Linked DNA regions of Styela clava. The protein of the gene in region 1 purifies or fractionates together with the protein of each later gene. This does not show direct contact. Links are inferred from orthologs where the notes say so. Each region holds a gene or a part of one and is shown on either strand. Other genes may lie near its edges.

What was found. Proteins that work in one complex are often made in the same cells at the same time.
Region 2: the proteins of cyclin-dependent kinase 20-like (region 1) and peptidyl-prolyl cis-trans isomerase FKBP8-like purify together in Homo sapiens (affinity purification with mass spectrometry; 5 studies listed by BioGRID and IntAct, with this or other methods). This does not show direct contact. The link is inferred for Styela clava from reciprocal best matches to the Homo sapiens genes CDK20 and FKBP8.

Annotation. Positions count from the first base shown.
Region 1 is NC_135258.1:20,402,769-20,411,364, forward strand, and holds the start of cyclin-dependent kinase 20-like, read right to left. Parts: upstream 3,679-8,596; 5' UTR 3,563-3,678; coding exon 3,552-3,562; intron 3,003-3,551; coding exon 2,897-3,002; intron 1,666-2,896; coding exon 1,540-1,665; intron 1,450-1,539; coding exon 1,261-1,449; intron 1,048-1,260; coding exon 923-1,047; intron 686-922; coding exon 571-685; intron 397-570; coding exon 187-396; intron 1-186. Other genes in the region: protein SERAC1-like, read left to right, coding at 6,382-6,400, 6,864-7,014, 7,323-7,432, 8,276-8,425. UniProt on the Homo sapiens protein: Required for high-level Shh responses in the developing neural tube.
Region 2 is NC_135250.1:31,185,404-31,193,542, forward strand, and holds the start of peptidyl-prolyl cis-trans isomerase FKBP8-like, read right to left. Parts: upstream 3,360-8,139; 5' UTR 3,240-3,359; coding exon 1,773-3,239; 3' UTR 1-1,772. Other genes in the region: coiled-coil domain-containing protein 174-like, read right to left, coding at 4,580-5,673, 6,450-6,608, 7,207-7,381, 8,058-8,139. UniProt on the Homo sapiens protein: Constitutively inactive PPiase, which becomes active when bound to calmodulin and calcium. Seems to act as a chaperone for BCL2, targets it to the mitochondria and modulates its phosphorylation state.

The DNA.
Region 1 (8,596 bases):
AATGTTTTCAACTCTATAAATTAAAAAGATTTGGGAAAAAAATTTATGTTAGCCACAGACAGACTTTAAATTAGCAATATCACCTACTATTTGTCAAATGCATTGAACACCGTAGTTAATTTTCCTTAGGTGAATGGCATCAGATGTATTGAATGAGATTTGTGGTCACTATATGCTTAGACTGACCTCCTTAGAAGGATAAACAAGAAACTTTTTCAACAAGTTGAGTGCCTCTGAAGATGCATCTGGTACAATTTCTTCAAGTGGTATTGGTGGATTGTCTGGAAATGTAATTTTATTGTAGTCTGGCAATGATGACATCCCGGGCCAAATACTTTCATTTGGTGTTCCTAGAACTCTCAGCACACAACACAACTGTTCAATGTCATTTTCACCCTGTAAAATAGCAATATGACAGCAGTCAGAATCATCTGCCAAACAATATGATTAATTTTCAATTAAGCAAAAAATAGTACAACAATAGCTGTGCTTTATGGTAATTGGTGACCAATATCATTTTCAATCGTTACTTTTTTGAAATACACATATTAGACATCAACAAATACTTACTGGAAATAATGGTGAATTGTTCAACATCTCACCAAAAATACAACCAACAGCCCATAAATCAACACCTTCATCATATTTTCTTGCGCCGTACAATAACTCTGGGGCTCTGTACCATCTTAACATTAAAACGGCAAACCATTAAGATACTAAAATTGTGGTGGTAGTAGACATAGAGAACAAAGTTTAATACGGGATGTGATTATCTGTATTTACGCTAGAAGTATCACTTATATTTAAAAATTAAATGGCAGTATCAGTGATAGAATCCATTATTCTATGAACTTATTACTTTTATGACATACTTTTGTGGCACATGACTGACAATAGTAATAAAAACTGTCTAAAAATATACCTTGTTGCAACTTGATGGCTATATTGTCTGTCAGAATCTTGATTTTGATAAACTCTTGCTAATCCAAAATCAGCAATCTTCAAATGACCCGTTGAACTTATCAGTAGATTAGCTGGTTTCAAATCCTATATTGTAAATTGTTTTGACTATTTTTTCTTTAGTGTAGTAGTGTTTGTAATCGGATAAGAAGGAGATAGTGCTTGGAACGCGCGATAAAATATTGAAGCAAAGTATGTTGAAGTAAAAATACCACCACACCAAGGGAGTAATAACTAGAATATATGGAAAAGCCTCCTGAAATGATCTAATAAATTTTCAATGATCAATAGTTTACTCACGCGATGCATTATGTTGCTTTTATGACAAAATGCAACTCCTTTCAACAGCATCATCATGTAACTTTTTATTTGACCTTCTGTCAGGGGTCGTTCAGAGTTTCGAATTACTTCAGACAAATCTGAAAGCATGTATTCAAACACCAAGACAAATCCAGTTCCATGGGGAAACACATCGTATAACTTGACAACCTATGAAAAAGAATAAAATGATGTATGTTGAGACTCAAATAATTGAAATAAGACATTACAAAAATGTTAGCATCATAGTTATAATCTCACATTTTGAGATTCTTCAGAATCTCCACCAATTTCCTGCAAAGCTTTAATTTCTCTCAAACCTTGATTTGGAATACCATCTTCTATTTTTCGCAAGGGAACCTTTTTTAATGCTACAACTTCCCCACTCTGAAAGGACAAAATCAAAGTAAAATAACTAGTTGTATAGGATAGGATTTACATATTTATCCCGGGGGAGAGGAAACCGATAAGACGGCTTATCCATATGACGAACCCTGGCCTCTCGTCCGGTTACCATTCCAAGTCGGGTATGGGATTAGTTTTACTGTATTGTTTGTTTTCGGAAGCATGGACTTGGTGGTGGAGGAAGCCGTAACCGACCAGCGGTTACGTGAACCACCCAACGACGGCGAGGAGTCCAGCAATCCTCTCGCACATAACCATCCCTGCATGGGATTCGAACCTGCGAACCCACGCAGAGTAATTAGAGGTGCGGTGGCGAGCGTATTCCTAACGCTTAGCCCGTTGAGCCACACCGCCGCGCCTGTATAAAATATCTTCATAAATTTATTTGGGATGACAAAGGTGTCAATGCAGCAATATGTTGTATGTTACCTTGAAAACGAATGTAACATTAAAATAGTGCGAACGTGCAATTGACGGTCATATGATCACACGGAGGTATGTAAAATTATTTCGGCGAATGATCACGTGATTCACTACAGACATTCTGTATCGCGCATTATCAACATGAGCAAAGCCCATCCACTATAATTAAAGAAGTTTATGGATAAAAGATTGGATTTAAAGTTGAATGGTGGACGATTTGTTACGGGTATATTGCGAGGTTTCGATCTTTTTATGAATCTAGTCGTGTATGATGGAACAGAGCGTAGAAAAGATGGGATCACTGCACCTGTTGGAATGGCTGAATGGTGGTCGTGCGTGGAAATTCGCTATTAATGTTGGAAGCATTGGAACGGATACAATGATTTTAAAGTGAACCAACCGAAAACGACAAAAGAACCCAATACCCCAATCCATGATTCGTGCATAGACTGCTATGGAACATCCAATCCATTTACCAAGCTTGTTTTTTAGTAAAAAATAATTTGTCACTGTGTTATTTTTGCAATATAGTTGAAGTAGGCCCACAACATCACCATTTTTCGTCAGCGAATGTTTTAATCCATATATCTGTATAGGAAAAGCACATACACGTCTCATATTTTAATTTGAATTTATAAGTTGTTGCCCGATGTTACATCGTGTTTTTGTTTTATTCTGTTTTTGGGCCCGTCCTCCAGGTCCTCTGTATTTTGTTTGTCCCTTTGTTGTTGTTTTGTGTTTTGTTTGTATCAGAGTGACCGAATAAAATTGATTGATTGAGACAACTTACTTGTATATGTTTCGCCTTATAAACTATACCGTGTGCACCTTCTCCAATTCTACCGAGAATGTGGTAATGTTCCATTTTCTGACGTTCGCAGCAATAAATAAACAAACTGAATATAACAATATCGGTATACAGGTTATATATACTGTACTCTATAAATTTATAGTTATTATAGGCCTACCGTTACGCTTTTTGGCATGTACCATACCGGTAACCAATGGAAACATCGAAATTAAGAATCTTGCTGTCTACCTTTGACCCCAAAACATTTCTGATCGGTTTTTATTTGTATGTATGTATGTTTATTCGTCTCGTAAAAGCAAAAACACAGGAGTTAGTAAATATCAACATTGAAGACGGGATGTATACACAAGACCATACTGGCCGTACGTATCTGAAACTGCAAATATTTAATTGGCAAGATCAACGATTAACATACCGGGCAAAATATAGCGAACATAAACCTTATATCTTTCCTATTTGATGCATCGATGGTTACTGATATGAAACCCGTTTGAAGTAAACATTATTAATTGATAGGCCGTGAGACAAGGCCCTGAAAAAAAGCCTAGAAAGTGAGTTTCGTAGCGCACGTAAAGAAACTACCTAAAAATAATTCTAAAATGTTCCTCCCTAGAAATTTAGTAACTAATAATACCTTGTTTCCATTTCCAAAAGTTGCACGTTTTACAAAAAAGACGCTTTTACCAGAGCCATTATATAATGGTTCTGCGTTTACTACAAGAAATATGTGCTACGATCTTTCCCATATTCTCTGCTTTTACGGCAACATTGGCCAATGAAAGCGGACTTCTGTATGACGTAACAATTAAAATTTGATCAGCTGTTAGCAGGCGGATGAATCTCAGTTATTACGGCTCGATGTTGCGTTTGGTTGGGTAGCCTTTCCATCGTCTTTTTTAGTTTGTATTAGTTGAGTTATGCCAAGACGGTGTTAAAAAATATAAGTAAGTTATTAAACACTTGTAGATCTCTATCATGGATCGGCGCGGCGGTGTGGCTCATCGTGCTGAGCGTTAGGAATACGCTCGACACCGCACCTCTGATTAGATTCGCAGGTTCGAATCATGCGATGATGGTTATGTGCGAGAGGATTGCTGGACTCCTCGCCGCCGTAGGGTGGTTCACGTAACCGCTGGTCGGTTACGGCTTCCCCCATCATCAAGTCCATGCTTCCGAAAACAAACAACTAACTAATCCCATACCCGACTTGGAATGGTAACCGGACGAGAGGCCGTGGTTCGCCATGTGGTTAAGCCGTCATATTGGTTTTTCTCTCCCCCGGGATAAATATCCTTATGGGTATAGGCCATGAGAAGAGGCCTTGAGAAACGCCCAGGAAATGAGTTCATAGCGCACATCTGATAACTAAATAAATTCTTCAGTTTTGTATGAAAATGAACATACTGAACGCTTACAGCTTGTTCCACAATCATTATGCGAAATTGAATATAAGGGCGTTCCCAGAAAATGAATGATCATAGGTTTAAAACAACACAGCATAAGAACTATGCAATTCAAGAGCCCCACTAAACACTAACTCAAATGTATTTCTGTAACGTCCTCTCTGACCAGAAGCAGACAGGCAGTTTACAACAAAGAACAGCATAAGAAGTTGCATTCATTTTATTAGAAGCTATGAGACGCATTTATTTTTAAGCAATGAAGTCACAAATTAACATCGTGATCACAAAAACACAAATAAATTAGTTATTTCTCACTTCAAGAAAAATCAAGAAGAAAATCAAATGAATACAGCATGTACATAACATAGTGAACAGAAATATTATAAGTCTTTTTTTATTTTATGTGGTTGTGTATTTGAAACAAAAGCAATATTATTTTTTCTAGAAACAGGATTACGACACTAACAGATGTCTGAAAAAAAAACTAATAAATAATATTTATCAAATTGACTTTAATATCTTATTCACTGTCTTCTGAATTGCTTCCGAAATCCACATTCTCGTAAATCGACTTTTTCTCTATACGTGTACTGTGATTTTTGCAGTCGATACAAAAACAATTGGCAAAAACCTGCACGGGAGAGATTTCACCAACGTCTTCAGTCGGTCCCGCAAAACGAGAGCGAATCGCACTCTAAGTTCTATCTATATATATAGCTCGGGTACTACAGATTTAGGCCAGTGCTCCGCAACCTTTTTTAACTTGCGGCACGCTTATAAAACTTGCCAAATTTGACGGCACATCACAACAAGGGAAAAATACAAGATGTAACTTTGTTTTATGTTCATATAACAATGAGAGAATTGTGGTTGTTTTAATGAGCACAATCGCTCTATATTAGGATCATTACGTGACGCGCAATCAATATTGCAACACGATAACTAGTTTCTAATGTTCTTTCGGAGACTGTAAAAGACGACTTCACAGAGCACTCCTGCTTCTTATTTTGACTTAACACCAGCTGGAAATAATTTATATTCCTGCGTGCATGAACGGCATATTCCGTATTTAAGTGGCGCATAAGTCTACTCAAAAACATTGCTTCATTTGATTCATATTTGACTTAATCTTCCCTGTATTTCCTTTTGACAATTTTTTTTTTCCAACGTTGCTTGTGCTAGGTACAATATGTTGCTCAGTATCAGCTTTTCTTTTTGAAGATTTATCTATTTTGCTAAGCTTTAGCGTTCCTCGACATTTTTAATCAAAGACAACTGGGCACTGATTCTGCAAACTCACACTTTATTTATATTCGATTACTAAACGTGCTATGTTTTAGCAATAGGATTTACAATATACCTGCTTGTCATATAGGCTCCTTGTTACGTCACAAATGCACAGTGGGGGGTGTCAGGAATTTGAATTGGTGTCGCTCAAGCTAACGTAAAAGCAGGTGCCCATATTATTGCTCCTTGTTACGTCACAAATGCACAGTGGGGGGTGTCAGGAATTTGAATTGGTGTCGCTCAAGCTAACGTAAAAGCAGGTGCCCATATTATTCATCCACGACTTACGCAAATTGAAAAAGAAAAACCAGACAAATCAGGTATGGTACGCTGGAATCTATTAGTGTTTCATATTTAATAAGAAACGAATCAATATCAGGCAAATATGCACGAAAAATCGACGCCAATAATTGATTTCTGTCAAATCGTAAATATATAGCCTACTACTACAAATACAATGAGAAATGCATATTTAAAAGTTGGATGTGTATGGAAGTTGGAACGAGAGAGCCGCAGAAATGAGAGAGAAGCACTCTCTCTGTGGTTGTATTGTCAAAATGATGATGTCATTATATCAGCTGTAGTGACAATCGGAGTGCCAGGTTAAAACTGAAACATGTGATACATATTACATTTGTGTTGCGTTTTGTTGCCCCATTTTTGTCGATGACGGCCTTGACAAAAATGGGAGTGTAAGGTTTATGGCGGTCATTTGTAACTTCATATATTGTATCAGTCGATAATGGAAATATTTTAGATTAGTAGGTACAGATTATGGTGAAGTGGTTTGCCGGTAAGCGAAGTTCATTTATTATTACACTATCATTAAATTTAATGTAGATGTCGCGGGACAGTGTTTTCTGATGTTGTTTAATTAGTAAAGTTTGCTTGCCTGTCCATCTATTTTAATAGCATCGGTAGTACCGTATAGTTTTTCACACGCTTTTTAATAATTATATACAGGTATATTAGTATTACAGTATTCAGGTATTATAAAGGCTAAATGCTGAAATTTGGATTCAGGGATTTTATTTGAATTCTAACTGTCTGGTATTTCAGAATTTGGTACCGGTATGGGTTAATGGTATTACTTTACTATCAATGGTTTATTATAAGTCTTATGTCTGTATGACTAGATACCCCATAGTACTGTAGTATTTGCATCATTCTGTCATCAGTTCATTATTATGGTGTAGCCTATGATTCTGTTGAACTAGTCTACTGGACTAAAAGTTTAACCATAATTTCTTTTCAAGGAAAGTGGAAGTGGGCACTTGTTGGAGTTGCATCTTGTGCAACAGGAAGCAGTTGCCTTCTTTATTTTGAGATAGAGAATTTGAAAAAAAATCTTCATCCGTCATTATCTGTATTAGATAGAGAAAAATACAGATCTTACATATATATTAGGTAAATTAATTGACTATATAGTTGCCAATTGTTCCCCTGCCATTGTTTTTGTCATTATCTTCAAAGCGTGCTTTTTTGAATCGGTAAATTGTGCAATACTCTGATCCTTGAGTGTGGGTATCAAGCCAGTGTACAATAATACAGTAATGCTGTAATAGGTACAAAATGGCCTTGGACTAGCATTTTATAATAACTCGGGAAGTATTTTGTTGTCTTCAATGGCATATGCATCAACAACTAAATGTTCTAATTATATGTAATTTATACATCAAGGAATTTATCACTTTCAATTTTTTCTATATTTGTAGGCCAGAACAATTTGATCTTCTGAACAGCCATCACTGGAATGAGAAAGGCTTGCAACATTTATACTCTGAAATTGAAACGTATATCATCAATCATATTCCACCGAGTATAGGTGAGTTATATTTAAAGAAACTTTTCATGTGATCACTTTCTACCTCAATTACGAATCTTTAGACAAGCAGTTATTTAAATATAGGTATCTTGTATTGATAGCTTGTATGTGCAGTAGGGCACAGTTCTCCGATTCCATGATGTTCTGACATTCGGTTCAATATATCAAACACTTTATTTGTCTTTGAAACGGGTGTTTTGGCAAGACGGCAGTCACGTTTGATTGCGCCATGCTTGTCTTGATAATAATTTAAACCAATCGCACCAGCCGCAACATGATTAAAATTGCTATAAACTCACGAATGCTATGATAGAAAAAAAATTCTCTCAGTTAATCAGCCTATATTTTTCCAAAATGTGAGTTCCAACCAAACAGGTGGTATAACAACAATACTAAAATATACAGTAGATAAAATGTAAGGGAAATAGTTGTATATGCAACTCTAATGCAAGTATATCTAAGCTTGAATCGTTGCATGTAATACACATACTCTGAAAAGGAAAACTGGCAAAACCTCTAATTATGCTGCGTGGGTTCGAAACCCATGCGGGATGGTTATGTGCGAGAGGATTGCTGGACTCCTCGTCGCAGTAGGGTGGTTCACGTAACCGCAGGTCGGTTACGGCTTCCTTCACCATCAAGTCCATGCTTCGAAAACAAAGAACTAACTAATCCCATACCTGACATGGAATGGTAACCCGACGAGAGGCCGTGGCTCGCCATATGGTTAAGCCGTCTTATCGGTTTTCCTCCCCCCGGGATAAATATGTAAATCCTTATTCTGATACATTTAAAAGATTTTATTCTAATAATGAGATTCACACTCATTATCTCTTGTCCCAGCAAAGCATCTTCCAATCAAATTGTTGAAAGGAAGAGAACTTCAAGCACAACGATACTTATCACCATGGCAGTTGTTGAAAGAAGCTTCGACACCAAGTTCTAATATTGCACAAGATGTCATTGATAAAATAAACAACCATAAATGGATGGGTTAGTATTCAATTTCAGAACTAAATTTATCTATGCCCACTCGTCAATACTATTCCATTTAATTATATGTTTTGAAGTTTTGCTGAGATAATATATTATTGCTGATTGGCATAAATACCTGATTTAGAATGTTAACTAATAATTAGTGTTGAAATGCTTAGTTGGAAAGTT
Region 2 (8,139 bases), on another chromosome or scaffold:
AAAAAAACACAAGAATCGAAAAAAATAATAAGAATTAAAAAACATATTGGCCATTGGTTGCACAGTTACTTACATTAGAATCAATTATTGGAAGCAGTAAAACTACAATGTGTCCAGAAAATTTTGTCAGATTTTATAATTGTATGTTTAAATAAATTTTATTGTATGCTAAATGCGAACTAAAAGCACAATAAGAACTACCGGAAATAAATGAAAACGAAGAGAATTTTAATTGTCATTATTATAAAATTGAGCAAAATTTTTTGGACACATATATACAATCTATCAGCATGTCAGCAATTGCTTACAACCGAAAATCAAACAGATCAAAAAATATAGCTATGAGAATACAACTTTTCTATCAGCACTATTTCCATTTTTAATAGCGACCTCTTGACATTCTCTCGAGAGAGAACCGAGTAAAAAAGAAAAAAAGAGCAAAATCACTATTTGCTATTAATTTATCACTGGATAAGTTAAAAGCAATGTTAAAGCATTTCTATGGATGGATCAACTGATCACAAGGATTTGGATTCAAACCAAACATAAAATGGTTTTCTTAGAGAATCGCAACTCCATTTTTAATAGAGAGCCTTCTCTCATTTATAAGAGAATGGAATACACACGTAAAAATAAAAAAGAAATAAAATCATAATTTGCTAATAAATCATCACTGTATATATTATAGCATTCCCATGGATGTATCTACTAATGAAATTTAAATTCAATTTAAAGTAAACCTAAAATGGCTTTTACAGGGAATTGCTATTTCAAATATTCATAATAATTGTAAGTACACCATTAGAGTATTAAAGTTTTTAAGTAAAATTATACAAAGCCAACATTTTGGATGATCTGGATTGAAATAAGCTGCAGAAAACCCTACTGGTAGAGGAATTGTACGATGAACTTAATTCCGGATAAACCTAAAAATAACTTTTTTAGGGAATCACAATTTTTAAGTATCTAAATATTCACAACAAGCATGATAATATTAACTATTAGAACAGTAAAATCAATATTTATGTGAAATTAATTCAAATTTATATTTTTGGGTGATCACTCCGTAACAAAGGCCGGGGTTTCCCAGCCGGGTTCCTGCTCTCTAGTAGCCCACAAAGTGCTTCTACCAGGGCCACAAATAATGCCAGGGGTCCACCCACTTATACTACATTACAGTGATAATAGAATACTATTAAAAAAATTTCGGTCCCTCAGAGTCCATCATGTATGCAAAGAATACCTGGACGCCTACATTTTCAATTGCAGAGACAGCAGAGGAGGGATGCCAGATTTTGAAAAAAAGCTCCAAGCAAATATACAGTATGACAAAGCTGAGATTAAAAATTGAAACAGCATCAACCCCCTGCTGTTAAATGGTCACGCTCGCACACTCTGAATCGAAAGAATTCTGTGTAATTAAACATGAACAGTCAACAAATAATAGTTATTTTTTGCAAAAAATTTCTTTGTAAAGAAAGGAAATGAATGGCACACTGAAATAAAACGAAGGCGAGCAACCATCAGCTGAAGCTCCAAGAAGTTGATTACAATCATCACAGATTATAATATCGGTAAAATGAGCAAACCCATGCGATATTTTGCAGTTCCTTCAATATCAAAATAGAATTTCATATAGGAATTTGTTGATTTAATATTCCCTGACACAGGGTTAAACAAATAGCCATATTTTATTAATTAGACATTGAATAGGTATTTGACATTAGGGATGCCATATTGTCAGAAAAATTATCAGAAAATTATTGAAATGTTTAGCTTCGTTGAGCGAGAAAGACTCCAATTAAAACAGCACCAATAGCAAGAGTTCCACCAACAACACGGCCCCAGTTCTGAGACCAAAATGACGTTTTCTCTTCTGGTTTCATTGAAGCACTAGTATCTGGAGTACCGAGCATTCGTCTGTACATTTTCTTCTGCGACTCTTTTTGTTTATCCAATTTCTTTTTATGTTTTGCAATTTCGTTTGCGATGACTTTGTTTTCAGGTTCTAATTTCCCTGCTTTCGTTAAAACATCAACTGCTTTATCTAATTCTCCAAGCATAACATGAATTTTTCCTTTTCTAAAAAGCGCTTTCACATTATTGGGTTCCAATTTTTCTGCAGCACGGCAAGATTTGAACGCATCTTGCCATTTCTCTTGCTTCATTTGTGACGCTGTTAAATTATTATAACACTTAATCCTCAATTCGTTGATGCGTACCCTCCCTGCTTCCGATTCCTCGCACATCCAGCCCTTTTCAAGCGCTTTGGTGCACCTAGTGTACGTCATTGTCGCTTCATCATACTTTTTCGCACTGTATAGTTTATTCCCGGCTTGTCGTTTTGCGTCCGCCCACTTAATTCTTCGATCTAAGTCAATAGTGCTACTAAACGGGCCGTCCTGTATTTTCAAAACTTCAATTTCGAAAATTAATTTTGCATTTGGTGGAACTTCTGGTAATTTTCCTTCGCTTCCGTAAGCGTATTTAGCATCACTCTCTACTGCCGCCACTTCACCTCGTTCCATTAAAGCTACGGAAATATCAATAGCATCCAAGATATCTTGCATTCCGAGAACGAAAACTAAATCATCATTTTTCTCAACGAGTGTTCCATCTTCTAGTTTTGCTTCGTACCTCACAGTAATTTCTTCTTCTCGTTTAGGTCTCGAATCTCTCCCCTCCCCACTTTTTAAAATCTTTTTCCGTAGTAAACTATTGCCGAGAATATCTAGCCATTCTTCTTTCTTTTCGACATCTTGCGCCGCATTATTTTCAATCTCCGAGGCTACTTGTTGTTTTGCTCCATCCACTGCATTTTTGATAATCTCTTTAGCCATAGTTGCCAGATTTTCTGCTTCACCATCCTCATTATCTGCTGACGCAGCAGTTTTAATTTCAGAACCGTTATTTGCTGAGTTATCACCATTATTTGTTGAGTAATCAGTTTTATTTGCCAAGTCATCACTATTATTTGCTGTATCATCAATCTCATCTGCTGACTCACCATATTTATTCAAATCTTCATGACTTTCTTTTAACGAGTCAACGTTTTGAATAGCGTCATTCTCGGGAGAATTTTGAAATTTTTGTGATAGGTCCTCCCCCTTTCCTAATTCGTCATCAAATTTTTTGGGCTCCTCCCCGCTTGAAGTATTCAATGCCATATTAGCATGGAGATTCTCAAAGTTTACGGTAATGCTGGCATCCTCAGGTTTTTTGTCAGTTATGTCTTCCATTTTTTCTTTTAAAAAACTAATTAAACTACTTTAATATTTCTGTGAAAAATAGGCAAAATGAAACTAAAGTTGCACTTTATAATTAATATAAAATATATTTGATCACACCGACTTACTAACTATTAGGGATGGGACGAGTCCGGAATTACAGAGATTCGACGAATCCGAGTAATAGGTCGAGGACTCGAATCGAATCTGCCGAGTCCGTGATGTCATAATGGAGAAGCCGAAAAACACGTTTTTGACCATGCTACAGCAACGTGCGCTCACAAACATACGTCGTAGCTCATACCACCGATAATTCTAGGCGGCTGTTTCGAAATTCTTACATGCCAATATGAAAAATAAAAAGCTTTTGACTACATTGCTTCTACATAATTCCATATACTTCTTACTATGTGCGTGTGCGCAAATGGTAGATGCCACTCATGCCAATACAATGTTGTACATCTGCTTGAAATTTAGTAGTGCATGTAAAATTCTAAAATTTGCCATGTTTTCAATTGCTCTCTCTTTAGGGAAAAGATTACACGTAATAAACTCAATTTAAAAGAGGTATGAATAAATTCCCCCCCTGGGTTGATCCAAGGCATGTTTCATTATACGCGAATCGAAGACTCAAAAGTATTGCGCTAATGTTCACATGTATACCAAAAAGGATATATAGTTTTTGAAGGCGACAGCTTTGTTATAAGCGATCAATAGTTTTTAATATGCGTTTTGATTGGTTAGGGCAGGACCAGGGGCCAAAAATTTTGCCCATCTAGACTGGCGGGCCATGTAAATGTGACGTAAAAGGTTACATTTTACGAGCAATATTAACAGTGTTACAAAAGCAAAAGTGGAAAAAAATAGCTTCGTGCCAAAACTATATTTAGTCAGGATCTCAACAAATTTCTTGGGCTATTTTTTTTTTAGCTAAGGCATCTAAATTTGGTTTTAGTTCAGGCGGGTCAGATTGAATTCCCCAACGAGCCGGATTAGGCCCGCGGGCCACAGTTTGCCCACCCCTGAGTTAGGGTATGTGCTGAGATTTATAGAGGTAAAAGTACAAACATAGGCGTAAATTAGTAAAAACAGTATTGATTATAGACTCGGTAAAAATGACGTGGACTCGAAATCGAATCAGAGTCCAAAAAATGCGTGGATTCGACTCGAATCCGAATCTCGGCCCATCCCTAATAACTAAAGGAGATTTATCACTAATAGTGTCTTTCAATGCATTTAACATGCTGGTAGGTGGCAGCAATTTTGTCCCCACATTGAAAATGACCTTTGACCCCAATTGGAAAAGGACCCCAAAGGAAAAAACAAAAAATTTCACAGTAAATATACAAAAATCAATCATCAGAAAACGCAGATTTTGACACCAAAACTTTCGATTTTTTAGGCACTTGCTTAATTTTCATTGTTATTGGTTTATCAGTAGGAACAAACATATTTACATCATTTTCTACAATATTTTCATACATTTTTGGTTCTTTCTTGCCCAGATCAGGGTTATTTTCACCCAAAATCGAGCTAGCACCAGAATTTTCCTGTTTTATACTGGAACTAGTAAGATAATCCAGAACTCTATCAGTTCTTTCTTGTATGTCTGCGGAAATGCCAGGATTTGTCGCAGTTGAATTTGATGAAAAATTTGTTTTTTGTCCCAAAGTGTTCAAAATACCAAATTGGTCCCCCAATTTTTCTTCAGTTTTTATACTAGCACTGTCTGTCCTATTGGATGTGCTCTGAGAATTGCCGTGTCTAATATGGGTTAAACTGTCACTATATGAAGTACTCAAAGGGTTAATTGGGTGTGTGTTATTTTGCGGATATTTCCTTTTATTTTTATTATGTTTATGATCCTTTGTTGTGTCATAGTAGAAGGATGGAGGGGCAAATTCATCTAGTCGCTCATTATGAGGATCTTTCCAACTTTTTGGTGGTTTTGTAGGTTCTGCGGGCAACCACTCTTTTCCTTTATCCCACTCCCGTTCTTTGCGAACTCCATCGTCACGCTTCGTGATTTCAGCTATCGTGACATCACTTTGTGTCGGTTTTTCTTCTTCTGCCTCCGGTGGTGAGAGTTCAATCGGTTTTAATAATTTTTCAGGAATTTCTTTTCCTTGTGCTTTTAATTTTTTAATTCTCCCCAACCGAACTTTTTCTAATCTCGCTTGCAACGCTGTTCGTTTCTTTTTCTCTGCGTCTTTGGCATTTTCCCTTTCCTTTTGCGTCTCATCTCTCATTTTACGAAGAAGTTTCATCTGTGTGTCTCTTGTTTCTTGATCGGTCGAAAATGCGAAATATCCGACGCCGAGTTCTCGAATCTCTCTTGCTCGTAAATCCTCGTAATGTAGTGGTCCGTTGATCTCTTCTACTGCTTCTTTCTCCCATTGTTCACGCTTTATTTCACGTCGCATGTCATCAGACAGCAATGTTCTCTCTGTCAAAAAAAGAAAATTATTAGGAAATGTGTTTTAATAGAGTGGCTTAGTCCTTTTAATAAGTTGGCCAGGTACCGCTTGCTGGTGCCAAGCGTTAGGAATACGCTCGCCACCGCATCTCTGAATACCCTTCGTGAGTTCGCAGGTTCGAATCTCATGCGAGGATGATCATGTGCGAGAGGATTGCTGGACTCCTCGCCGACGTAGGGTGGTTCACGTAACCGCTGGTTGGTTACAGCTTCCTTCACCATCAAGTCCATGCTTCCGGAAACAAATAACTGGCTAACTAATCCCATACCCGACCTGAACTGGTAACCGGACGAGAGGCCGTGGTTGTGGTCCCCTGGAATAAATATGTAAATCCTATCCTATCCTACTCTTTATTTAGAGATAACTATTAGAGTTATAATCAAGAGATGTACATATCCTCATGGTTAGGTTTCTCCCTTACTATTTTTATCAACTTTGAAAATTATGAATTACTGTAAAATAACTCTGATAAAAATGGGAAAATTTATTGTAAAAAAGAAATTTTGAAGAATTTTTAAAATTGAAGAGGGAAATTTTCCAAGTGAAATTGAATTAAGATTCTTCTATGATTTTGCTTCCCACTAATATTGCACTAATGAGCTTAGAGGAAGATTACACATTTACTATAACATAGTCGCTTATTACATATCAGTGACTGCCTGAAACCAGCCTCATTCAAAGTGAATGAACAACACAAAGTTAATAAGGTAATATAAAGCTTCAGAATTTCATGGTTTATCAGTACCTCCAGGTTCCTGTATTTCCGGTTTTCTTCTCTTTTCTTCATTCAGTTTTTCATCCATTCTTTTCATTCTGTCCAGATCTTTTTTCAAACACGCTCTCGTCCGACCCAAACTATCTGTATATTCAACCCATTCATTCTCTGATTTCTGGAGTTCAGAAGCTGAGAATAAGAAAAGAAATATTTTAAATTGATTGTTACACATCTATTTGAAAAAGGCTCTAGACTGCCTCACTACTGCTAACTTCATGGGGACAGAGTTAGTGGTGCTCAGAGTCGTTTTCTGTTTCGTGTACGACTGCTGTGCATAGCAGATCGCCTCATGGTATTTTTTTCAATTAACATACATAGTTCCATTTTTTTATATTAATTTCCCGAGTTATTTATGAAAACCACTGCTCGTGCTGATAACCAGTATTGGTTTTCTGCGTCTCCTTCACCCTGGAACGCGGTTTGTTTATTGGACATAGAGTGGACATATGGATCGCTTCGTTATTATGTTGTTGTTGTTCGTTGTCACAGAAAAAAATCAATTTTCTTTCTGAGTACTGGACCAAATGCTTTGAAATTTTCGGAGTAGACTGTATACGATACTACACCGTGTCCATATATTTGAGCATCGATCTCTTGTTATTTATTGAAATTTGTATGTCTTGGTAAAAAGTATGGTGACAAATAAACTACTGATTACTGATCGTACCAGCTTACTTCTCCTAAGATTCTCAATTCCCTACAAAATCCTTGATTTACAATTGCTCACCTAACTCTGTTGCCACATTTACACCAACTTTTGGTTTGATATCCAGTTCATTATTTGTCTTCTGTAATCTGGCATCCATGGATTTCTGCTCAAAATCAACCAGAAATAATGAAGAACTCTCTTCATCTGGCAACAGGTTTCCTGATGACATTTTCTCATAGAGTTTGGCTTTGGCCTTGAATAATAAAATAAAAACATTTTACTTACCGTATATGACAATGTGTAAGAAAGCTGATGAGACCGCTCAATCATAATGACAAGTCAAAGCCAATGAATTATGAACGAGAATATCAGTCGGAGACCAAAGACTTATCGATCAAAACTGCAGTTTCGATTCATGACTCTATAGTGAATCCGCGTGTCCCATAACTAATTAATTAATACCTCGCTAATTATGAGACATAATTCATCCAAAATCAATAGGCTGCTGGTCCGAGATATGATGAATGCACACGCAAAGTTTGGACTAGATTCAACTACGCCTTCGTGAGATATCGCGTTCATCTAACAGACAGACAGATACCTATCAACATACTTACCAATCTTAAGATCGATAGGTAATAAGACGGTGACCTAAGCTTAGTGCATTGCATGTGAATAAAACCTATCTTTGAGCAAAGTCACATGCACTCACTCAAAGTAAAGGATACTCATATCTGAGCAAAGTTACAAACAGTCACTCTGGAGTAAAAGAGACTCATCTCTGAGCAAAGGTAAAGAAATCAGCACATAATAGAAAAATTTTCTTCCAGGGAATGCAAAACCTATAACCTCATCTCCAATAATCGCAAAAAACAACAAATCCGAAAAGAAGGTATAATAGTTTTTATTACAAAAGAATTCATTTTCACCTCCAGCACAGATTTCACCATTTTCCCTTTATCTATTTCTTCAGATGTTTCGGCAATATCTCTTGCGTTACGTTCTTCAACT